Linked DNA regions of Alligator mississippiensis. The protein of the gene in region 1 purifies or fractionates together with the protein of each later gene. This does not show direct contact. Links are inferred from orthologs where the notes say so. Each region holds a gene or a part of one and is shown in the gene's direction. Other genes may lie near its edges.

Region 1 (12,640 bases):
ACCAAGACATGGAAAGTGAGAAAGAGGGTACCCGTTGGGCAGGATTGGTACGGTCAAGGAGCCCTAGACGTATCACGACCATCCCATCCTGTGACAATTAGATTTAAATGTAAGACTTTTTTTCAGATCCATAGAACAACATCTAGCCTTCTTGAGCCTCTTGGCAGTGCCTCCAATGCTTCCCTCAAAGTTATTTCTGCCTGTGAGTTCATGTTCACCTGAGTTAAGGTTTCCACCCCTGAGTTAAGGTTTTTAGCTAGGCATTGGTTCGTAACCTCGGGGTGCGACCCAAACTGGGGGTGCAGGGGGTCCTTGGTAGGGTTGCAAAGAGCCTGCATACACATGAACACTCATGCGTGAAGCTCAGGAGCGGCAGGCAGGCGGGGCAGGGCCACCGCGCACAAAAGGGGCAATGGTGGCTCCCCCTACCCCCGGGCTGCCACCCCCACCGTACTCCACTCCCAGCAGCCCCCGTGGCACTGGGTTGGGAACCACTGAGCTAGACTTAGAGTCTCCAGGGCTCTGAAATAGGAGCTACATGACCAGGAGCAGCAGACAGACAGCAGTATTACAGAAGAAAAGATGGCTTGATTAATGGAAGATCAAGAACATTTAAAAAGGAGAGTGGGTCATTAACATCTATGGAATGAAGAGTTTAGAAGGAAAGTGGTTGAGGTCCCTTCCAGCCTCACTTCTCTATGATTTATGAGTCATGGAGTCAAATGACTCCCTCACTGCTGCCTAACTAGAAATGCTGCTGCTACTACTGACAGGCACTTGGTTTTAAGTTTGTGGGGGACCAGGAATCGAAGCTTGGTGGAACCGCCTCCCCGGATCTGCCCCTCCTGGCCAGAAGGTTGCTTCAGGTGCAGGATGGTGAAACACAACAAGGCCAGTCGTTTCAGATTCACTTGGTCCCCCAACTTCACTGCAGCTTCCCGGAAACTTTGATCTGGCTTGGATCTCTTCCCCCCCAAGGGGGCATTGAACACGGGGTGACAATCAGGATAGCAGGGCCTGGCATAAGGGGCCCTTGGCATTCATTGTTAACTCAGTAGGTGGCAGCTTTGGCTGGTTTCCAGGCAGCTCTTGCATCTGAAGGTGGTGACTTCCAAGTCTCTGCGTTTCCCTGCCTCTAGGAGCTCCGGGAAACCAGAGCTTGGGCTGTTGGTGGATGCAGCAATGAAACATCCATTGGCTTGCATGACTCCAGGATAATTCCCTGCCCAACCTGCTTCTAAACCTGAGGAACCTGTCTGGGTGGTGGCTTTTGCTACCTCTTGCTTTCTTTTGCCTGAGCCCAGGCATGGGAAGAGTGACAAGCCCCATCTATCACTGGGGACAAGGTTTTATCTGCTGAGATCAAACCTTGGTCCTATTCTAGCTTCTAGCACCAGAAAGTTCAAGTCCTCTGACATTATCTGAGATACCTGTAGCTTTTTCACTGGATACTATTGCCACAGTCAGGGCTGCCCCGGGCCCGGTACTTTGAGGGGGCCCCACGGAGCTGGGCGGAGAGGCTGCAGCCCTCCCGCAGGGCCTGCTTGGAGCTGGCGGCTCAGCCCTGTGCCACGGAAGAAGCATGGAGACCCCCCACTTTGCGGGCGTACCAGGGCACCATGCAGTGTTAAGGGGACCCCGCACAGGCTGATTTGCCGTGGGCCCCACACCCCGATAGGGTCGGCTGCGGCCACATGCTCTGATAGCTTCCAATCAGGCTAAATAAAGGAGCGATCAAATGCCCCTCCAGTGAGTGCTTTGGATGGTGGCTTCTACTGGGACACCACCCAAAGCACTAACCAGCATGCTCTGAGTAGAGTAGGTTTATGGATTTCCCTTGGAGATTGATGGTGATCAAGTTAATGTGTGGAGAAATAATAACAATAACAACAGTCATCATTATAAGAATTTTAATTAGAGTAATAATAATACAGAGAGTTTTAAAGGGTCACCCTTTGGTTTGTTCTGGGGGTTTCACTCCCCCCCCCAGCTATAACATCAGAATCCTCCTGCTTTCTCAGGGATCTGTAGACAGGCTGGACAAGACATGGTTTCTGCCCCTGCCTCTCTGTTCAGCAGACCATTGGCCCCTGGTTGTAAGGCCTAAAGCTTCTCAGGACATCTTACCATCCCAATAAGCCTCTTCCCATCCCATAAAAATGCTCCCAAAGGCCCAGTGCCCCATTCAAGTCTGTGCTTACCTCCTGGCGCCCCCTGGGGATCACCCATGTCCACTGCAGTCACCTTCTTCCCTACTAGTTGGACTCAAGTCCTTCTGGATGCTGTGGGGTGTTTCCTAACCCCTGGGGCTCAGCCAACTTGTAAGGCTTCATGCAACAATGTAGAGCACTGAAGGCTGGTGGATATCCCCATGTTAAAAATGGTGACCCCCCCTCCGGACTCTCCCCATCTCTTTCCAGCATCCATGGCTGAGAACGAAGGGTTCAGCCCTGCCAGGTACCCTGCATGCCCATCACCCCCCAAACCTCCCGGGGCAACTTCCAGTCTCCCACAGGGCATAGAGCGGAAGGGGCATCATTGTGCCTCTGATGGCTGCAGGCTATGCACTCTGCCCCCCAGTTGTGTTCCTACACACCAGGTGCTTTGTGGAGCCTGCTGATAGCTCAGACAACAGACCCCTTCTTTCCCAGTGGGTCTGTGCTGCCTGGTAGGGTCAGACTTCACACACCACAGTATTGTCAAAGACAGACAGATGGACAGACAGCTATAGATGGATGTAGTATATGAGGATATATATGAAGTGGGTAAGGGGATGGATTGATGGATGGAGAGAGAGAGAGACAGACAGAGGGGGTATATATGGATGGATGGATGGATGGATGGATGGATGGATGGATAGGGTCTATGAGGATAGGGTTAATGGATGGATGAACAGATGGAAGGGTGAATAGGTAAATAAACAGATAGGGTGTATGGATGGATGGATAGGTATGAAGGCAGACAGATAGCTAGGATGTACTGGGCAGGCTGGAGCTGGGGGTATCCAGCCCTGAGGCACTGCCAGTGCCTGTGGGAACTTCTATGTCCCCAAACCCCTTGGGCAGAAACCCATGGGTGCAGGCAGGCTTGGTGCTGGCCATGGAGCTGGAGCCCTGCTGAGTTGTGCAAAAGGAAGCAAGTGATACCACAGGAAGTCTGTGACACAGATATCAGGCAGCCTGGGCCAGTGCGGGCAGTGATTGCAGGGGAACTGATGTCAGGGCGGGCTCCCCACTGGCGTCATGGCCACAGATGCTGGCAGCTCCTGGGGGCTTCCTTTGCAGCCTGGAAAGTGGGAAACTCCGTGCTGATGGAAGCTGGTTCCCTGCCTCTTGCCTGATGCAGGGCTGTGATTGGGCTTGAAACTAGGACTACACTCAAGCCCAGGGCTGACATTGGGAGAATATCCCACCCAGAGCTTTGGCTTTGAGTGCTGACATAGAGGTGATACTGAGATTATAAAGAAGGTATCTAGGTCATCAAGAAGGTTCTGAGGTCATCAAGGCAGTGCTGAGGGCATCAAGCCAGCATCCTGGTGCCCATGGCACTGCCAGGCCAGGCAAAACCTGGCAGCAGCCTCAGTGCCCTGCTGGCACCTCTCTCAGTGCCCCACAGCCTGCTGCCCATCTCCTTATGGGTCCTGCCCCATGCCCAGGTCTTAATCCCTGCAGGGTGGCTGTAGCTCACGGGGACGTAGCATCATGCCAGTGGACCAGGCCATGCCTTCTCTATTGGCGTTCACAGTCACCCTTCCCAGAGCTTTTTAACTGCTTTTCTCCAGCCACAGATCAGTCCCAAAGATGGCATTCCAGCTTCTCTGGGTTGGGTGATTCTTGGCTCTGAAGAACCAGAAGCCCCTTGACGTGTCCAAAGGCATCCAGCTTCCTCGCAGCCAGAGGAAAGGAAAGAAAAGACCAGATGGCAAGTGGAAGAGCAGGGTTTGTGGGAATCAGATGGAACCAGAGGGCCAGTGGGGGTCGCAGGGGTTATGTCTAGTCCACGAAGGATTGTCTCCAGTTTATTCCTGCTGATATGTCACCCCAGAGGAGCTTTTGGATAGGCACCCACTGGTGTTGCCATCAGCATGAAACCTTCCAGGCAAGCATGGCGGAAGCCTCTGTGAAAACAAGCAACTCGTTTAGTCCCCCAACCAACTCCAGGTTCTGCTTAATAGCTCCCTTCAGCCCCCACTTGGACTGAGAAAAGCCTGGCATTGATGCCCCTCCTGACCCCTTTATTCCCTTGCTGGACCTGGAAGCAGAGTCAGCTGAACCCACACACCCATTTTAGCCTCTGACTAAGGCTGGGGGCTCTGATATGTATGTGGAGTTACAGCATTCACATACCACCGGGCATAGAGCCACAGGGCCTGGACACACTTAGCCCCATTTAAATCCAGTTGAAACCCACAGAAGACAACTGTACACACCTGTTGTACTGGTTTAAAGCCACCTGGGATGGTTCAACCATGTGGCCAGGAAACCCAGGGCTACTTCCATCCAGTGCGGTTATAGGTAGATACCAAGCCTTCTGCAACAGATCTGGTCGGGCCTCCAAGCATCCCACACTGCATTCTTGCCCCCCCTCGCTGCTGCCATTGGCCGCTCTGGTACACAGCCAGAATTCTACTGCTCCTTGTTTCCCCCCACTACTTTCATTAGCAATTTTTATCGCTCTTTACCTGGCTTGGTCAATCCAGGTGAACTTCGTAATGAACAGCTGTGTCCTCATTCCCCACCTGACTGCAGCCAAACATCTGCCCCTACCAGCCCTTGGGAACCCAAAGAGGTGGGTCCAAGACCTCTCCTTCCCCCAAACCAGCAAATGTGCCCCAGATTGCAGGCTCTTGATTGAACTTCTCTATAGGCGATAAGGGAAAGCAGAGCTAACAATCCCCCAGCCACAGATTACCCACTCCTGAAACCCCCAGAGGATAGGTGCAAGCCCTTGCTCCCCCTAGAAGCCATGTCCCCAGGAGCAGGGCAAAGGGTAATGAGGGAAGGGATGGGTCCTGGAGGATGAAAAGCGCTGCAGGGTGCTTGGATCATAGCTAGGAGGGAAATGCACAGCTCAACTGGGTGATGGTTTCTACCCTGCCCAGGCAGGCCGCTCCCATGCCCATGCCCATCTGCTGGGCCTGGTACCAATGCAAAGGAGCCATAGGAAAGCTGCTTTCCTTGTTCTCTCATCACACCCAGCCTGGGGAACTCCCAGCTTTCTGACTTCCTTCCTCAGAGAGTTTCTGGCACTGGGCACTTCCCATCTCAGCCCCTGCCCCAGGGGCAGGGAAGGCACTGGGCACTGTCCCCAAGGGTGCCGAGCTGTGCAAGGCGGTAGGTGGATGGATCCTGATGGCTCACAGGTGCAGGGGGATCTTAGACTCCCAGCTCCTCCTAACACCGCAGACCAGCCCCATGCACAAGCTGGGAGCCTCTGGCACAGGGAACGAGGGCTGGCTGGGGGGGTTCATTGCCCACTGCTGCAGTGGAAAGCAGCCCCTCCACCTTCTCCCGCCTGTCTAAGCAGAGGATGTGGGGATCCTTTCCTGATCCTCACTGCAGCTCAAATCTGGTGAACAATGCCTAGCATCTGAAATCTTACCTACATTCAGTAACCATCAGAAAGGGAGGATGAAGAAGGGAACTACAAATAATACAGGAAGTATCCTGTTGCCTGGTGCCTGCACCTCGAGAAGGAGACAGAAGAATTAGAGAAGGTGCAGAGAAGGGCAACATGGATGATAACTGAAATGGAGGGGCTTCCCTATGAGATGAGTGTATGGAGGCTAGTGTGAGAGAGACGGAGAGTGAGAGAGGGTGTGTGGGGTGGATAGACGGATAGATAAATAGTGTGGGTTGGATAGAAAGACGGATAGATTGTGTGGGGTGAATAAATGGATAGAAGGACAGATAGTGTGGGCTGGGTAGACAGATAGATGGATAGATAGAGTGTGGGGTGGGTGGATGGATGGGCAGGCCTATTCAGTTTGGAAAAGAGACACTTGAGGGGGGCAGGATCAGGGTTTCCAAAAAACTAAATGGCAAAAAGAAAATCAATAGGGATTTATTACTGACTGTCTCTTCCCAAACAAGACCGAGGGGTCACAACATGAAAGGCACAGGTCATTGGTTTAGAACAGACATCAGGCAGTTCTTTCTCCCCCAGCGGGTCATTCAAGGGTGAGACTTGTTGCCAGCAGATATGGGGGAAGCTGAGAGTCCAGCCAGATTCATGGAGGGATTGGAGTTGTTCATGGCAGAAAGCACGGCAGTGAGATGCATGGCCTCTGAACTGGAGCTTCACAGATCCTAACTGCTGGAGGCTGCATATGAGAGAGGAACAAACCCTGCTCAGACCCAGCGGTCTCCCTTCTAGCCTTCGCTCTCTGCCGCCCCGTGACGCAGGAGTTTGAGCAGGATGGACTGAGGGTCTTCTCTGCAGTCCCTGGCAGCTCTGATGTCCTTAACTCTACCCCAATGTGTGGTAGAGATCCCTCGAAGACATCCCTGCCCCTCAGCACTGAGAAACCGAGCGCCAGAGATCAGGATGAGGCCTCCGTGGGCCACCAAACCTCAAAAAGGAAGTTCCAGTTCTGGTGATTTGGGATGAAGCCAAAGCCTCCCTGGCTGGATTTTCTACCCCTCCCTCAATAAAACCTCCCTTCCTTTCTCCCCAGACCTGGCCTCAACGGGTTAGTCCCACTGAAAGGGACCCCCACAGTGACTCCTGCCCCTCCTGGTGTAGGAGCTGGGGGCAGGGACACAGCAGCAGCAGTCAGGGGTTTGGAGTCCCCTGGGGCAGAGGCGACAGAGCCCTGCTATCAGGGGCGGGGGTTGCAGGAATGTGGGAATGAGCCTGGGGGGCTCTGAGATTCCCCAGCAACAGCTGCTTCTCTCCCATCTAGGGGACACAGGCCGGGACATAGTGTCCCCTGCCCAGACTCTGCTCTTGCCTCACTTGCCATCTCCTCTGCGCTGGGCAGCATTAAGGATAATGAGTGGCTTGTCCGGTGACATCACTCTGAGTGGCTATGACATCACAGCCCCTCTGTCACCGAAGGGGTCATGTGAGACCCCACCTCCTTAACAGGGGTTAAGGTGACATCTGTCTGTAGCTCCAGGTTGGGGGACTGAGGTGCCAAGGTGGGAGCCCAGCCTCCTCTCCACACCGCATGGGGAAACTGAGGCAGGACGACATTCAGCAGGATCAAGAGGAAGGGTCCACGCGCCACAACAGACTCCCGCCACGAAGGCAATATCCAGGCCCCACCCCTCCCGCGCTAGCTCCCTCCACTTACTGCCTGGCCACGCCCCTTAGTCTCCCCGCCCATTGGCAGCTGGACGCCTGCCAGTCACGCTGTGGGCGGGGCAGTACGTAGGGGGCGGGGCAAGCCAGCGTGTAGGGGGTGGGGCCAGGGCGGTGACGCACAGCGTGTAGAGCCGTGGCCTACGCGGTGACGCAAAGATAAGGGCGGGGCCTGGGCGGTGACGCGAGGCGCAAAGGGCGGGGCCTGGGCGGTGACGGAGGCGTAGGGCGGCCGCGCGGGCGGTAGTTGTCGCTGACCGGGCGCTTCTGTCAGAGTGGAGCTACGAGGGGGACGCGTGTGACGCCAGGTACTGTAGCGGCGGGGCGCGGCGTGGCGCGGTGCGGGGACCCGCGGCGGCCGCATGTGCACCCCTTCCATCCCTCCGTCCCCGGCTTCGACTTGCCCTTGTCCGGGCACCGCCTGGGAGCGGGGGAGTGGACCGGGGCTGGCGCGCCGAGCGACAGCCTCTCAGGCCAATGGGGAGCCGGCGCGGCGCACTTCTGCCTGTTCACTGGTTGCCCCGTTTGGCGGGCTGCGGGGGTTGGACGCCGGCGCCTGGGGGCGGGGCCGACCCAGGATCACCCAGCCGCGCCCGCCTGCTGGCCTCCTGGGTTCCCTGCCCATCCCCCACACCCCGCTCTCCCGGGTCCCTCCTCCCTACCCACACATTCCCCCACCCCTGCATGGGCTGGGGGGGGAAGATGTCAGCCTCCTAGGTTCCCTAACCCCTCCCGCATTGTCCCCCGTGGGGCATCCCCCACATTCCCGGTTTCCCTGGCCCCCCCCTGCAGCTCCCCAGGCAGGCAGACAGGGCTGCTGCTGTACTGGGCCCCCTGGCCCTGGGCAGACCTTGGTGCTCTCAGCTGTGGGGCAGGACAGCAAGTGTCCCTGGTCATGGAGCCTGGGGGGGAGTTGGCAGAGTCCAGCCCCCTGCTCTGTGCAGCATGTGCCTGCCAGACCCTCCCAGTCGAGTGTTTGCTGCTCCTGCTCTTGGACACTTCCAGGGACAGAGACTTGGGAGGCCTTGGGCAGCCTGCACGTCCCTTCTCGATGCCAGCCTTAGTCTCCCCTGCTGCAGTTGAGGCTGTTTGCTCCCCGTCCTGTCCCCATACCCGTCCATCCTCTGTCATTGCCCTCAGGGGGCTCGAGGGCTGGGATCCAATCCCCCTCCCCCCCCCCCCCCCCCCCCCCAGGCTTCTCTTAACTTGACTTGATTACCCCAGCTCTTCCAGCCCATCCTTATCAGTCCTGTGTCCTGGGCCCCTGATCTTTTCTGTTGCCCTGTGTTGGACTCTTTCCTGCCTGTCCACCTCCTCCATAATGTGCAGGGCTCAGAACTGGCCACAGGACTCCAGGCAAGGCCTCCCCACCCTGGGACTGCTTTCACCCCTGTTCTTGTGAGTAAAGCTGGGGGATTTAGTCTCACCATGGGTGTCGAGATCCCCAGTGCTGGATGGAGCTGTCTGAGCTTGATTGCACTGAGGAAGAACCTGTGCTCTTTCCCCCAGGCTGGACCCCACAGACAAGCCCTTAGGGAGCTCCCTTCTGTGCCCTAGCTTTAGTATCAGTCCCAGCTGGTGCTCTCTTGGTCTCTGTAGACTTTATTTAGTTCATCTATAAGGTGTGTCTTTACTCTGGCTTCAGACTAGCAGGATTAACCACCTCTCGGGGTTTAGCTCTGCCCTTGATGGAGCTGCCTGGCTGGGACCTATGCTTCATGTCAGCACTGTGTGACCTCCCAGGAATGTGTCATTCCCTGCCTGGCACCTCTGAGGCAGGCTGGGAGAAGGGTGTTTCAAAGGCAAAGCAAGGAAGTTGCCAGTCCAGCCCTTCTGGGCATCTGCTGTTATGGCAACAGTTGTTGGTGCCTTGTTCTTCCCTATCCCTTGCTCTCCTGCTGGTAGGGAGTCCATGCTACAGCGTTGAGGGTACTCTGGTGTGCACTGCGATCCTATCAGGGGTGCCATGCTAGCCCTGTGAGGTGTGCAGGCATGAGCTCCCCCTCCCTTGTCTTTCCTGTTCTGATCTCTCTTCTGCACTGCTGCTTGTAGGTCCTTTCCCAGCAATTGGTGAAAAGAGCTTAGGCTCACGACAGCTTGTTGTGTGTAATGTACACATGCATTCACATGTACACACACGTATGCGCACACACTACATATGTCCTTACTCTGTGTATGTGATCTACATAGTTACTGTGCCAGGCATTCTTCAGGATGCGTGTGGCCAGATGTAACATTTATCACAGCTGAGGAGGTCATCCGGTGGGTAAAGCAAGACCTTATCACACTGTAACTCAGTCTTTGTAGTACTTTTATATAACCCTGGATGAGACCGGGATAACCCAAGAACTTTGGAGCAGGGATGGCATATAGATATGGCCCACAAGCCCAGTCCAGCCTGCTGGATTTATGTGGTGCCATGCAATTCCTAAAGAGCTGCCATAGCCTCGGTCAGACCCTAAGTCCATTTTGTCTAGTCTTCTGTGTCGTACGGTGGCAGAGAGTAGATGTCAAAAGGGGTAGTGACCTGGGTATGACCAGAAGTTTTTCCATTCCTTCTCTCACTTGCAGCCTTCAGCATTTAGGGTCTAGGAGGCTGTGCTACTCACTCTTGTACTTGTTGGCTACTGATGCCACTTTTTCCCCCAAGCATATGTCCAATCTCTTGGTGAATCTGGCCAATCTCTCAGCTTCTCCCACATCTGATGGTAATGAGTCCCACTCTTGAATGACCCGCTTGGTGAAGAACTGCCTTGTATTGGTTTTGAAATGAGCAGGCTGTCGGTTTATGTTGTGACCTCATACTTGACTGGTGAGATGGTCAATAAGAAATCCCTATTGACTTTCTTTGCCACTTAGCATTTTGTTAAACCCTGATCCTGCCTCCCCCGGGAGCTTCTCTTGTCTAAACTGAGCAGACTTAGCCTTATTAGTCTGTCCTCAAAATGAAGCCCTTCCACAAAAGGATTTTTATCTGGCCTGGTGTGAGGAAGTGGTGTTGAGGGGGAGCCATAGGTGGTTAGGATTGTCTGGGATGGCAGCATGTGGCATGGAGAGCTGGCAGCCTCACCCAGCTTGGTGGGAACTGTGGTGGGGCTGGGAAGTTAAGATCTGGCTCAAGGTTCCCAAGTCAGGCTGTCAGATACTTGGCAGGAAGTGGGCAAGGACTGCCATGGCATTGGAGAGTCTGACGTGGCACTGACAACCTGGCAGGGACTTGGCAGCATCCTATCTACCTGGGCATCAGGACAGCCCTGTTCGTTCCAACCAGGCCAGGGCGTGCGGAAGCTTTTTGCCTTGGAACAGAAATGTGCTAATCCAGCCTGTGGCCTGGAAGCTACTCCATGAAAACTTTAGGCTCTTTAAACTCTTGACCTTGGGGTTGTTTCTGGATCTTGCCTTTTGGATGCTAGAAGGTACCATGGCTTCAGCCTCTTAAATCTTTCCTGGGACTTGGACAGCAGCATACAAAACCTCGGCACCAAGGCAAACCTAACCAGGCCTCTGCTGTGTCTCTTTCTCAGTGTTTTCTGCATGCACCTGTTCCAGGTTGGCTGTTTTCAGACTTGAAATGAGCTGGGAAGGGCTGGAGAAATCAGTTCCATCAGTGATCAAATTGATCGAAGGCAGAAAATCCAGAAAGGCACATGGACCTTCGTGTTTTTTTTGTTTTTTTTTTACAAGCGCATCTTTATAATCCAGTGGTCATCTGATAGCTCAGGGTATGCTGAAGCCTCTGCTGGTTTGATGGCTGTCTTAACACCTGAAAAATCATTAAGACCAAGGCACTTAACACTTTTTTTCAAATCCCCTGCTCCCCTCCCCCCAGTAATTAGATTCTGTTTGTGGGAAACTTTAGAAACTTGTTTAGATTCTACGCACAGAAAGTTTTATATTATAGTGAGGTACTCTTGAGTCCATTCTTCTCACCATTGCAGGGGGACAGGTATTTGGGGGCAGGTGATGTGTGGAGGTCAAGCAGCTTGCTCCCTGCTTGGGTCTGCCCCTCTTCTCCTCCTCTAGCCTCTGCTTCCCCTAACTCCAGCCTTTGCTCCCCATTTTACCCCACCTTCTTACTCTTACTTTATGAAGTAGGCTCCATTCCCCTTCTAGCCAGGAACACTGAACACAGTCCCAGCCCAGCCGTGTAGCAGCCTGCATAGCTGGTACAGGAGCTGGGTTGGGACCATGTTCAGTTCCCCAGGCTGCATTGTATACAGAGCGTGTCACTTTTAAATTCAGGGTAGTGTCTTGGATTTCCGTAAATACGGCATTTCCTATCATAATCTACCAACCCCTGCTCTTGATTGCTAAGTGACCCTGACTCAGAACCTGAGTTGCCTGACCCTGCACTGCCCTCGTACTTGATTCTAAGATGAGGGGCTTCTTCCCTGTGTTAAACAGGGAGGGAACGTTGTCTTGGAATGGAGTAAATATGGTACTTGGCACTTAGGACCCCCCTCCCCCCCCATCTGTGAAGCTAGCAAGCTGGTGTTTTAATACTGCTGAAGTTATTTCCTGTTTCCCTGTCTTCAGAAGGTCACTGTGCAGTCACTGCCTCTCATCTCCTTCAGCTGAGGGCTTTTTTAAATGAACTGCTCTATGGCAGGGGCTGGTTGCTCTAAGCCTGGCTGCCTGTCTCTCTGCAGCCAGGCCCTTCACTTTTACACTGTCACTGAGCTCCTGCTCAGTGCTTTGAGGGGATGCACTTCACTTGTGGACTGGATTTCCAGTGTTGCCTACGGCTAATAAAGCAAGCTGAGGCCCAAAGGCCACGGTTACAAATGTATTGTAATTTCGTGCACATAATGCACTCCCAAATATAATACGCAACCTGTTTTTGATAGTTTAAAGGGGGGAAGAAAAATTCTTATGTTGTGGTATGGGTAAGTAATTTATCTGGCTAGTTGGGGCTAGGGTTGTACACTGCTTTGATCTGAGGCATGGGGCCATGTCATCCAGCTGGGAGGTTCCCTAGGGGTCTGGAAGCAGTGGCAGAACTAAGTGCCACAGCTCCCAGAGCCTCTGCAGTGGATACTGTCATCACTACCCTGCTGCCAAATTTCAGGGCCATATTTCTCATGTATAACGTGCACCTCAATCTCCAGCTGGTTGGCGGGCGGGGGGGGGAATGGGACAGGGTGCATGTTGTATGCAAGACAATATGGTATCCTTTGGTAGGTCACCATGGAAGAAAATGCAAACAGACGATTGATCAGGGCAAAAAATACCTGACATTTGCAGTGGATTAGGTAGCTTCCAAGAGAGAACAGAGCTATAAGCCTCAGGAAAGTTTCTCCACCCGAGACAGCTTGTTAGGGTCCACCTTTCATTA
Region 2 (12,221 bases), on another chromosome or scaffold:
ATAAATGCATCAGCCATTCTAATATATTATTTTGGGAGTCCCTTTGCCATGCTACAAACTGATCATTTATCTGTACTCTTTGTTTTCTGTCTCCAAGCTGGTTTCTAAGCAATCCATGAAAATACTCTACTTTTCACTCTCTTACTATATTGTTTTCCTGTCAGCCTCCTGTGAGGGACTTTGTCAAAGGTTGTTTTTTTTAAAGTCTGAGTAAATGACACCACCACATTCTCTTACCCTTCCCCCCAGGCTGACCTGCACTATTTTTCCAATACTCTGAAAGTAGGCTATTGATTGGAAAGGTTTTACAGAAGCTCTGGTTGTTTGTCCCCATAATGTGATCATGTAGATCTATAATCTGTTCTCATTTCAGTTAGTTTGCCTGGATGGAAGTGAGACTCTCTGATCTGTATTTCCCAGGATGTCCACTTTCACCCTTTATATAGATAGGATTAGCCCCAGTGACATAACATTCTTCTGGGGTAGCAGCTAGTTTTAATGGAGATGTATATAATGCCTATTTCAGCCATTTCATTTTGAAGCTCTGGATGGCACTAGGAACCTGCTCTTTAACATATTTGGTGTTTCCTTTTGGCACTTGGCTCTCTCAGAATGCCTCATCTTTTTCATGAGAAAAGTGAAGCTGAAGGATTTCTCCAGATTAAAGCTTTAGACACCAAGGTGATAAACTCCTCCTAGTTGCAGCAGGTAGATGTGGGCTTGTCTATGAACTTTAAGCTTTGACCAACAATGCCAGCTTTTCCTGGGTACCCAAGTTGCTCTTGCTCCCCAGATATTCAGATGGACTGAAACAAAGGGCTTGATTTCAGTCCATTTTTCTTCCTCCTGGAAGGCTCCTCAAACTACATTGTGTTCCTCTGGAAGGGAGAAGGTGTTCTTAATTGAAGTAGTCACCTTTTACTTGCTGGATCCATGAATAGATGGGGCAGGGCTGTGTTCTGAGCCCACTTTGCATCCCAGGAGCACTGGCTTGGGGGGAAGGGGGATTGGGTGTTTGCTGAGTGGTCTGAAAGGGCCCTTTTTAGCTGGGATCCTTTGTTTCTTTCCGTCTTTCTAGAGCCACAAAGCCTGCCCTCATTTCACTCTGTGATTAAACAGCTCTGTGAATCTGCACCCTGCCCCTTATAGGTAAATGGAACCAAAAATTCCTTCAGAGCTGCATTGTAGGGATGAATCCAGGGGCTGGCAAATCCCTATGTTTAAAAGGCAAGATGAGAACTTTCAGCCCCCTCTACGGCAGCTGTTGGTGCAGCATGCACCACATCTGATCTTAGAGACAGGATGTGCTCTGTGCCCCACCCTGCTTGACAGACAGAGGCACTTGCAGTTAATGCACACCCTCCTTGACATGCTGCTTCTTAGTAGAGAATGCTGCTTCTTCAGAGCCCAGGATAACTTTTGCATCCATGAGCTCCCCTGACTGATGCAATGGATGGCCTCATCAGCTCTGCTTATCAAGGCAGCCTCAGGTACCAGGGGATAAGTGCAATGCTGTGTAAGGAGTAAAGAGTAATAGTCTCAGGCCAGTGCCCCTAGCTCCTATAAGGTGTACAGCAATGTGTTAGCGGTCACTTCTGCCCCTGTCAGTTTATGGCAATAGAGATCTTCTCATGTGAGCTCTCAGGTACCATCTCATTGAGCCCTCAGCTCCTTTGCCAGATGTATTAGTGAATGTTGTAAAAGACCTGATCCATGCTGAGCGTTACTAGCAGTTATCATCAGTGGCCTCCTCAGAACCATTAAAAAGGAGCCAGGGTTCTTTTACAAGAAGAAAGAGACAAACAAACAGAATGAGACTCCTCAGAAATCTGCAAGCTAACCTTCTCTGAGAACAGACTCTCCAGAGCCAGACTCCCCCAAACCCTGACATCCTGACTTCCCCCAAAATCTCAGAATTGTTTTTCTCAAACAGACATTCCCCATAAACTTCTCCAGCCTAATCCTCCTCAGAAAAACCAGGTTCTGCAAAACCTTGCTATCAAGAGATCCCCCCGACTTCTAGATTTCCCAGTTTCCAGTGAACAGCCAGAGCAGGCCTGGTGCCCCACAGAGACGGCAAGGTTCTTTGGGTAGATGTGATATCTTTTATTAGACCAACTCAGTAGATGGGGAAAAGTTCTTTGCAAGCTTTTGGGTGCAATCACCCCTCTTCAGGCATAGGAAGTCTCTGCTGTTCTGAGACTCCAGGGAATGTTTCTTTCATTCCTTGGAGTTTCAGAACAGCAGAGACTTCCTCTGCTTGAAGAATAGCAATTGTGCCTGAAAGCTTGCAAAGAACTTTTTCCCCTCAGCTACTCAGTTGGTCTAATAAAAGATATCACATCTACCCAAAGAGCCTTGCCTGCCTATGTCCTTAGACCAACCCGGCTACAACCAAAAACCCAGCCACAAAGACGGTGCACTTACCTTAGCTACAGCAGGAATGCAGCTGTCCGCAGAGTACCTTGTGTTCCCAGGGTTTTTTGGAGAGAAAGTGCTGAGTGGGAAGGGGCACTGAAGCAGTCACGCTGGCATTGAAGACTCTATCTGAGCTCAGTCCCTACTAGAATGGGGTGGGGAAGCCAGTAGCAGCCAACCAGCTTCAAGGTACTTCTGAATATGCAGATGGAGAAGGGTCAGGTTCAGTAATAGGGATCAGGGCACCTTCCATTCTGCTGCTGGGATGCTCAGATACACAGACCACTCAACAAGCTCAGAGGGTCTGTAAATGGCAACACTGCTAACCACGCAGGGTTGTGTGTACCGATAGAATAATTTTGCGTATAACCTTCTGGGTTCTATCTTGTTGCACATCAGGAGAGAAGTTTTTGGGGGGAGGAATAATTTTCATATTCCATGTCAAATTAGCCAAATCAGTTCCAAATCCTCTTGACTGAGCAACTCTCAATCATTTGAACACTATATGTGGTGCTACAACTGACAAGTATCCTCCACCCCCGACTTTTCAGCCTCGGGCTTCAGATACTCCTAAATCCATTGATGGGCATCCTATGTACAGGCCCAAGCCCAGAAGCTTGGGGTTTGGATGCCACAGAGTCCCACTTGTCCTTAACCAAATAGCACAGAAGCAAGCTAGAGAGGAGTCCCCCATTTCCATAAAGTAGGTGTGCAGCCAAGATCCTCCCACTGGAAGCTGGCCAGCAGGAATCTATTTACAAGACTCTTGTAGGGCATCCTGTCCACAGTGCATTGAACAGGCATGCACCCTCCATTACACAATGCCATTTAAATCCATGTTGGTTTGGGTAACTAACCAGTGCAGCGACTACACTTGATCTTAGCCCACAAGAGGTTGAGAAGCAATCAGGAGAGAGATGCGTTGGCTGGGATGTGTTAGGGGTGGTGAGGATTGGAACAGCAGGACGTAAGGCAGAACTGACTTGTAGGAGACTGTGAAGCTGGGCAGGGGAAGTGAGTTAATGCCAAATGGTAAAGGACCGCAGTTACTGTAAAGCAGGGCCCAGTAGCACTTTGTTCTATTCAGGACTTGGAATCTGAACCTAGTCTGGAAATGTACTGTCCCACCATCCATGATGGATCCACCAGTGCTAGAAGCAAGTAGGGCCTCTTTGCAGCTAGTAAAAATGGTGCTGGAAGGGGAAGCTGAAGGATACAGACATTGTAGACAGCCCCAAAGCAGTGGTTTTCAAACAGAGGGGCTCAGTTTAATAAGAGTCACAATTTTGTTTGAGCCCCCCTCCACCCCAACCCAGACAAAAACAGACATGCAAAATATGCTTTCATAAACTTAACAAACACAACTTAACTTACTTAATTAAATTACCTACACCTGTAGGTTTCTAGTTCACAGATTGAAATTGATATTCACAGATATTATACTTAACGACTTTAGCCGTTTCAGCTTCTGCCTTCCGTTTCGTAACAGTATCTTTTGGCAATAAGTACCGATCCAGTTTCACCTCAATAGTATGAAAATATCGAACTCACCGGCAGAATAAGTTGCACTGCAAAATGCTTGTTGTGATTTTTTTGTCTTGTAAGAGTAGATATGATAGGTGTACTAAACTGGAAGGTGGGAAATGTTGCTATGGAAATGATCACTGGTTTAATTAAATGCATTGTAACACCTGTGAAATCAGTTGCAAAAAGTTCACTCATACTATTTCAGTGTGTGATGTTGTCAAATATAATACTAATAATGATGATAATAATTTTTAAAAGTAAAATATGCCTTGCACATGGTGCCCCCCACATTCCTTTGCGCCCCCCCTCCCCGCCCCCAGACAGCATGCCCCCCAGTTTAAAAACCGCCGCCTTAAGGAACACAGCATAGGTTACCAGTGGTTTCTAATGTGTTGATGATGAAGGTTTCTTTTCTTCACTGCAGCTAGATCTTTGAGGTGTATGTGCAGTATTGCTAACTCTCATGATTTTTGCCAGTGTTCTTAAAGTATATGCTTTGGGAATGTGAAGAACTTAGCTTTCTTTTATATATAAAAGCTCTTTCTTTTATATATGTGTGTGTGTGTATATATATATATATATATATATATACACACACATACACACACACACACACAATATATATATATATATATATATATATATATATATATAATATAAAAGAAGGAGCTAAGTTTTTCACATTCCCATAGCGTAGACTTTAAGAATGACAAAAATCATGAGAGGTGGCAACACTGTATGACACACCTAGAAAAGGAACATCATCTAAATAATAATACTTAGTATTGTATGTTTTCAGATGTAAACTCTAGCCATTAGAGTAGGGGCGGGCAATTATTTTGGGCGGAGGGACACTTACTGAGTTTTGGCAAGCCATCGAGGGCTGCATGTCAGGCAGCCAGGGGCAGATAAATATTAATTTTCTAAATTTTTTAGGGGCCCTGCGGGCTGGATAGAACGACCTGGCAGGCCATATCTGGCCCGTGGGCCGCATTTTGCCCACCCCTGCATTAGAGCCAGCTGTTCAGCATAGCTGATAGGTAAGTGTTCTCCCCTCAGCACTGGACAAGTCCCTAATATATAAACTGTGAGAAATAATCTGCCTGACCAGAGGAACAGACTCCAAAGAGTAACCCAAGTCTCTCACATATCTCATTCAAAAAAGCCTGTTGGATTTGTTACCTGCTACCTGCTGAACAGTTTGAACAAGGAGCCAGACAAAATACAATGGCTCATGCAGTTTTATTTGAGCTCAACTGAATTAAATCTCTCAGTAAAACTCTTATCTCATTCATTTGTATCCAGGTACTTTACAATTGCTATGATATGCATTCTTCCTACTAGGCAGCAGTCTTCGATTCAAGGCAGCTGGTTTCTATTTGTTGTGCTCAAGGAGAGCAGCATACTAGAGATGCACTGCTCCAAAAGCTGTATCAGTTCCATTTGTTTTTATTCCTTTTTAGTTCTTTTTTACACACCAAACAGGTTTCAAAGGTTCCACCTCCTCCTTTTGCTTTCTTCTCCCTTTCCTGTACTCCTTCCTCGAGGAAATTCTTTACAAAACGACATTAAGTTAGTAGTGCCATTACACCATTGAGCACTTAAAAAAAGTAGGAAATGCTCAAGATAACGCAGCACCCAGTTCTAACTCTTGTTCCCTTCTGCAGATGCCTAATTCTAATACAGCCCTTTATGATGTGAACAGAGGCTCTGTCTCAACTCATGCAACATCATGTACACTGAAAGCAACAGGGCATCTCACAGCGTAGCCTGCACAGGAGCACAGCATTCAGCCAGAGCCATGGTCAGGTGAGAGAATCCCACCCTTCCCTCTGCATAAAGGTGGGAGCTTGCTGCACATTTCTTTTCCCTCTGCAGCTGTGTGGAGGGCCTGCCCTGTGGCCTGGTGGCGTCCCAGTGTCCGTCACAGCCACGCTGGAACTCCAGCCTCATGGCGGGAACATCGCTGGGGTGAGCTAGCCCTAGGGCAGTGTTGGCAGGTGGGAGCCAAGCGTTGCTAGCTCCCTGGAGGCAGCCTGCTGGGGGAACCCAGGCACTAGTGCTCTAGGGAGGGGCGTGGGACCCCCAGTCTCTGGCTACAGCCCCAGATCTGGGAGCCAGGACTCAGGGGCCTCCTGTCCACTGGGAAGCCAGGGCACAGCCTGGCTAGGGAGTGCAGCCTCCTGCCCTGTGCTGCCAGATCTCCACATCACCTCTGCTGGTGTCTGCACTGCCACCACTGCTGCCAGGCCCATCCCTGCTCACCCTGGGCTCCCCAGCTCCCGTGGGCAGCATCAAGCTCCTCAAGTCAGGTGCCCATGGGCTAATTCACAACCTGCCCCTGCCCTGCATGGCTGAAGGTTGCCTGGGGCAGGGACCGGCAGCCAGTACCAAGACGCCTGGCGGGGGAGAGGGAGCGCAAGCCAGATAACATCAAGGCCCCCCTGTCCTGCTCAGAGTGGTCCAGTCCTCAGCAGGCCCACCGGGGCTCGCAGCCGCCCTTCAAGGTGGTTGAGTCCTCTTTCTCCTCCTCCCGGTGGTTTTGTCCCGTCAGGACGTTTCGGTTTCTCACCCTCCCCCATGTTTGGTACGACCCTCCCGGCTCCCCCTGCGCTGAAGGGTGCTTGGTTCGGTCCGCTCCGTTTCCGGCCTGCCCGGGGCCTGTTTCCGGTGTTCGCCTTCACGTCGCCGCCGCCGCCGCGATGTTGCCGCTGCTGTCCCGGTCCCGCTGTCTGAGCCGGGCGCTCAATGCCCTGCGGCAGGTACGGGCGGGACGAGCCGAGCCGAGCCAAGCCACGCCACGGCACGGCACGGCACGGCACGGCATAGTCCTGTCAAGGGCACTGGGGTGGGGGCGGTGCCGCCACCAGAGACCCTCGGGTGGGCGGGAGGGACACAGCGCCCCGCCCCACCTCGCAAGGGCTCCTGCCGCCCTGGCACGTAGCGCTTCCCCGTAGCGGGGGGCAGGAGGGCCGGGACTGGGACTGGGCCTGAGGACGGGAGGAGCCGCCCGGGCGGCCGGGGCCGGGTCGGGGTCCTGAGGCCTGGTCGCGGCCTCGCCGCACCTGTGTTGGTAGCCGGCAGCGGGTCGGGTTGTCCGCCGGGTCCGTGTTCAGCACAACGCGGCTGCGCTGGGCACTGGCGCGACACGAGGAGCCGCAGCGCGCGCTCGGGCGTTGGACCGGCCTCGGCTTGTGCGGCCTGGCCCGGCACCGGGTTGGAAGAACAGGCGGGAGCTAGAAGGGGCCGGAGGCAGCGGAGCCGGGTGGGCAGGGGAAGCTCCTGCTGCACCTCCGCCCAGAAAAAAGTTGTGTTTAAAGTTTTCCCGGCCTGGAGCAGTGCAAAGGCTAGTTCTCGTTGTACTGGACTCACTCCCTGCTGCACTGCCAGCTGCGCTGGCAGCTGCTGGAGCAGCAGCATCCTGTTTCTCAAGATTTTTAGAGCTAGTTGATCTTGACCTGTCAATTACTTGGTGCCCACAGCTTGGCAAAGGGGCTGTTTTACTGTCTGCTCATCTCCCAACATTTTTTTTCCAATTCAAAACGAGCTAGTCCTTGAATTGACTTTGCTTGGGAACGAAAGCATTCTCTGCACCTGCAGAAGCAGCTCTTGCTGTCAAACTGGTTTATTTAACAGACTCCACCTCCACCTGCTTCAGCAGTGATTTCCACCCAGTCCTTGGTTTCTTGGTGCAACTTCAGTAGTCGCCATGTGCTATTCAGATGTTTTAAGCAACTTAAATTCTTTTAATAGATAAACATAAGTGTAGGCCTTAATATGTGGGTGGTCACAACTTGCAAAATTAATTTCAGACAGGCTTATATTTTAAAAATATTAAAATCAAAGAGTTTCTTAAGTATCTTTTTATTGGTATGCACCCTTCAGAGTGGTGGGTAGGACCCCAGGTAGAGAAGTGAAAACCAGAAGAACAAGCATAAAGTATTTTTACTGTACATAAAATGAGACTGTAAGTCAGTTGATTACATGCAGGGAGATGCATTGGGCTAGGAAGATAATTTTGGTTGTCATGTTGAATATAACAGAATGGGAAGAGACAGGCAGGTAGGGAGTTCAAGGAGAGGTGGTCACAGATAGGGTGACCATGATAATTTTATGGACAGGGTAAGGAAGTCTGGGATAGGGGGTGTAACCCCCCCCCCCCCACTTCAGCCTCAAGGCTCCCAGGAGCAGGGCTGGGCAGGATGGTGTGGAAGCCCACCTTTGGCCTTTATCCCCTTCTTGCAGAGGCTGGACCCAGCTGGGGGCACCCCCTGGGCTCCATAAGCCCATGCTGCGCAGCTGCACAATGCCTCCCAGCAGGCTGGGGCTGCAATCCCAGGACAGAGCCCAGAGCCATCCCCCCGCCCCCCAAACATGGGTCCCCAGCAGCCGGGAGGGCAGAGGGACCCCTCAGAAGCCCCCGCCTTCACCTGGAAGGCTGCTCCCTAGTCCTGAATCCATTGAGCTGCAAGCCATGAGTCTTTTGCCAAGTAGAGTCGGTCAGAAGCTGGGCACATGCGGGTGGGTTCACACCAGTCTGGGAGTTTTGCTTCAGTTTTCTCTAGAGAGCCCAGCCAGTGAGCTGCTCCGTAGTCTGAACTCTGCTGGGCTGTGAGCAGTCTTTTGCTCAATCAATAATCAATCAGGAGCTGGGCACATGCAAGCAGGTTCCTGCCAATCTAGGACTTTCACTTCAATTTTCTCCAACCCAGGACAACCTATGAAATCTGGGACTGTCCCAACCAATCCAGGATGTATGGTAACCCTAGTCATAGAGGTCTAGACAAGAGAATTGGAACATGGATGATGAGTTTTGAGAGTGGGGAAGAAGTATGATAAGTGAGGATATTTCTGGAGGTGGTTGAGAAAGAAATACCGGGATGTGAAAACAGGTCAAGCATGTGAACTTCAGAGTTGTGGCTTTGGGCAGCTGGGAGGGTAGCAAAGTCAGCAGGAATGGAGAAAGGGGGAAGCTTGGGTTTTGACACTCGCATGGTCAAGAGGTAGCGGGGCAGGCGCTACGAAGATTGGCTAAAGGGCCTGAACCTATTCAGCCTCCACAGGAGAAGGCTGAGGGGGGATCTGGTGGCTGTTTACAAACTCACCAGGGGGGACCAGTGGAAACTGGGGGAGGCTCTGTTCCCCCAGGCACTACTGGGGGTTACTAGGAATAACAGCCACAAATTGCTAGAGCAAATTGTTCAGGCTGGACATCAGGAGACATTACTTTACAGTTAGGGCTGCCAGGATCTGGAATGGACTCCCAGGTGAGGTAGTGCTCTGTCCTACCTTGGAGGTCTTCAAGAGGAGGCTGGACAGATATTTGGCTGGGGTGATGTGATCCTGGCACCCGTTCCTGCCCAGGGCAGGGGTTTGGACCTGATGATCTGTTTAGGTCCCTTCCAACCCTAAATACTATGATACTATGATGCTATGACATATATGAAGAAGAGAATTAAAACTCAAGAACTCTGTCCTGGAGGAAGAGAGTTGTGAGTCATCAAACTAGGAATCATGGGAGAGCATCAGTGGTGAGTGTGTGGGCAGAAGAGGACAGGACTGACATTTGCGATTTGGACTAGGAGAGGCAACCACTGAGGAAGTGGTTGCACAGGTAGGACTTCAGAAGTCTGCAGACAAGATGCTCTTCAAAAGGGGCATGTAGTTGACAGCAGGAGGATGACAGTGAGGCCTTTGGATTTCACTAGGCAGGGAAAAGTTAATGTATAATTTGTTTAGTGAGTGGAAGCAATCAAAGGGAGCTAAGGATGTTACCATGCTAGCAAACTAACAGTGTTCTCTATCTCTTTGGCTCTACTGCCTCAGTCCTATCTGACTCCTGTCTTTTTTTCCTACCCAATGTTACATATAAAAAACAGGCTGTACAAACCAATGAGGTGTATGAATACACTGAGTCTCTTGTGCAGCAGTGGGTTATTCAGGACCTGGCTATCAATGCAGTGACTTCTGTTCTAAGCAGTCCAAAGTCTGGCCCTTCCCACAGGGCTGATTTGCCCTAGTGTTCCTTCACCCTATCACTACCCCATCATGTCAGTGCCTATGATGTCCAGCCCTTAGATTATCTGCATCACTTGTTGACTGCAAAACTAATTTACATGCTGAATGTTTCTCTTCTCTCAATCTTCTTATTCAAACTGCCCCATGTTTCCAACAAAGCCTTGACTGGAATGATCTAGTTGGGATGGTCCTGCTTTGAGCACGGGGTTGGACTAGATGAGATGACCACCTGAGGTCCCTTCCGACCCTAATTTTCTATAATTCTATGTTTCTAGGGTTGAAGTAGAAATTCGCAAATGATGACAGTATGCCCATGCCCACCTCAGGAGTTATGTCTCCATAGAGAATGATTTCAAACGTGCTTCAAGGAGTGACAGTTCCCAAGCAGGTAGAGATTGGAGGCTGTGCATTAGGGTCACTTTGACCTTGGGCTGGTTCCAGCATGTTTGAACACTCTTGAGAAATCATGGGAGGCAGGGGGAGGAGTAGTAGGTTGATAATGAACTCTAGGGAGGTATTGGTCAATTTTTGTCAGTTGCTACTTTTTCCATGTTAAGGATGGTTCTTAAAGTATGCTCATGTTGGCATACTGGACCTGAAACTGCTGCTGCTGTTGCTGCTTCTTCAGCCTGTGAAGGTCCTTAACCACACCACTTCCTGAGGTTTAATGCCAGATGTCCCCAGGAAGAGATGTGGTCATAAGCAGATATGCTCTGTAAGTGGGATGTTTGCCATCTCCTCTACCAAGGCTATGTATATGAGTGCCATTTCCTGCATGCTAAAAATAAACTGGGAAGGGCTAGTAATATGTTTAGAGACCCTCACCATCTTATTTGTGCCTTCCTCTACTGTGTGACTACGTAGGAGAGCTTTCTCTTCTACCTTCCTCTCATGTAAGGCTTTAGTTTCTCAACCCTGGGGTTGTCTGACTACATGAAACAGTCTCTTGGTATGCCAGCTCTTAGATTTATAGCACTCCACAGAGACTGTGCTCCCATAGGAAGTGCTTTTTCTGTGGGTTTATTTTTCCCCAGACGTTCATTATTAGTTGGCTTCCCAGAGTGAGCCACATCCTAGCAGTGCGGGGGCTCCACAAACAAACATATCAGCCTGTTTTCCTTCCAGAAACTAGTACAGCATATCCTGTTTCCCCAGCAAGATGATGTCTGGTATGCTAGGATTTCCCCTGCCTCTTTACAAAGTACCCTAAAAAAAGCATCAGAAGGCTAAGTGAAATTAGCTCCCTACTGTACAATTGAATGAATAGCTAAAGAACCAGAGGACATGTGGCTGTAAATCATTTGGGAGTTTTAGTGCCCAAAAGGCGCAGTCAGTAGAGCTCCAGAACCCTAAATTGAGTTTCCTTGTGTTCCTCCAGTTTTTCACAAAGTCAAATGTTTTGTGTACATTCCATATTCTAAATAGTGTGTCCCTGCACTGTCTTTAGCATCATCCCTAACAGTTCCCTTTGTCTGATGTACATGAATTTTCAGAAGCACATACACAATGTGTTTCACAAATAAGTCCAAGATACCAGCTACAGCTGAGCTCTTAGTTCTGGCTGAAAGTGAAGGCAAGTTGTATATACAGGCTCTTTCCTCAGAAGTTGAGATTTAACCAAAGTAGGATTGTTTTTTCTTCCTGTATTGACTCGTGTACAGTGATACTTTGAATTGCCAAATAACATGTTCCACTCCAGAAAGAGTTATTGCAGTGTTGAGTAGCATATTACTTTTTACAACTGTTTGGTGCTCCTCCAGGTCAAAAGGTGTTGTGTAAGATACCTGTGAGATGGAGGATCTGGTATAACTGTCTCAAATTTTGCTTTTGGTTTGAAGTGTTGGACTGAGTTATAAACCTTCTCTTGACTTTGAGGATTAAGATGAAGGTCAGAAAAGGTGAAATTCTGCCCCATTGAAGTCAATAGGAGTCTTGCACTGACTTCACTAGAGCCAGGTTTTCATTCAACAGTTCTTTTAAACCCCCAAATTGCCTTTAAGTAAAATTGACACTGCAAATTGGAGCTGCAGAGGCTGTGGGACTCAACAGCTCCAGTGTGGAACTACTGCTTCCAACAGTCCTAACCTAACTACCCTTGGCCTTCTTGCACAGTGACAAACTCAAGGTGAGTGGGGCTTTCAGAAAACTGTCCCTTGTGTTCTTTTTATATCGGCATTCCCCTCCCACAGCAGCAGGAGCTGCAAGTAAAGCCAGGGATCAGAGTTTAATTCACTTGCTTCCAAGGTGCTTTTCTGTGG

Evidence for each region.
Region 2: the proteins of OGDH (region 1) and DLST fractionate together in Homo sapiens (co-fractionation; 3 studies listed by BioGRID). This does not show direct contact. The link is inferred for Alligator mississippiensis from reciprocal best matches to the Homo sapiens genes OGDH and DLST.

What each region holds. Positions count from the first base shown.
Region 1 is NC_081830.1:10,100,340-10,112,979, reverse strand, and holds the start of OGDH (2-oxoglutarate dehydrogenase complex component E1), read left to right. Parts: upstream 1-7,501; 5' UTR 7,502-7,613; intron 7,614-12,640. Other genes in the region: interleukin-36 receptor antagonist protein, read right to left, coding at 2,202-2,229. UniProt on the Homo sapiens protein: 2-oxoglutarate dehydrogenase (E1o) component of the 2-oxoglutarate dehydrogenase complex (OGDHC). Participates in the first step, rate limiting for the overall conversion of 2-oxoglutarate to succinyl-CoA and CO(2) catalyzed by the whole OGDHC.
Region 2 is NC_081825.1:261,150,246-261,162,466, forward strand, and holds the start of DLST (dihydrolipoyllysine-residue succinyltransferase component of 2-oxoglutarate dehydrogenase complex, mitochondrial), read left to right. Parts: upstream 1-6,624; 5' UTR 6,625-6,647; coding exon 6,648-6,707; intron 6,708-10,238; exon of another isoform or gene 10,239-10,309; coding exon of another isoform or gene 10,310-10,351; intron 10,352-12,221. UniProt on the Homo sapiens protein: Dihydrolipoamide succinyltransferase (E2) component of the 2-oxoglutarate dehydrogenase complex. The 2-oxoglutarate dehydrogenase complex catalyzes the overall conversion of 2-oxoglutarate to succinyl-CoA and CO(2).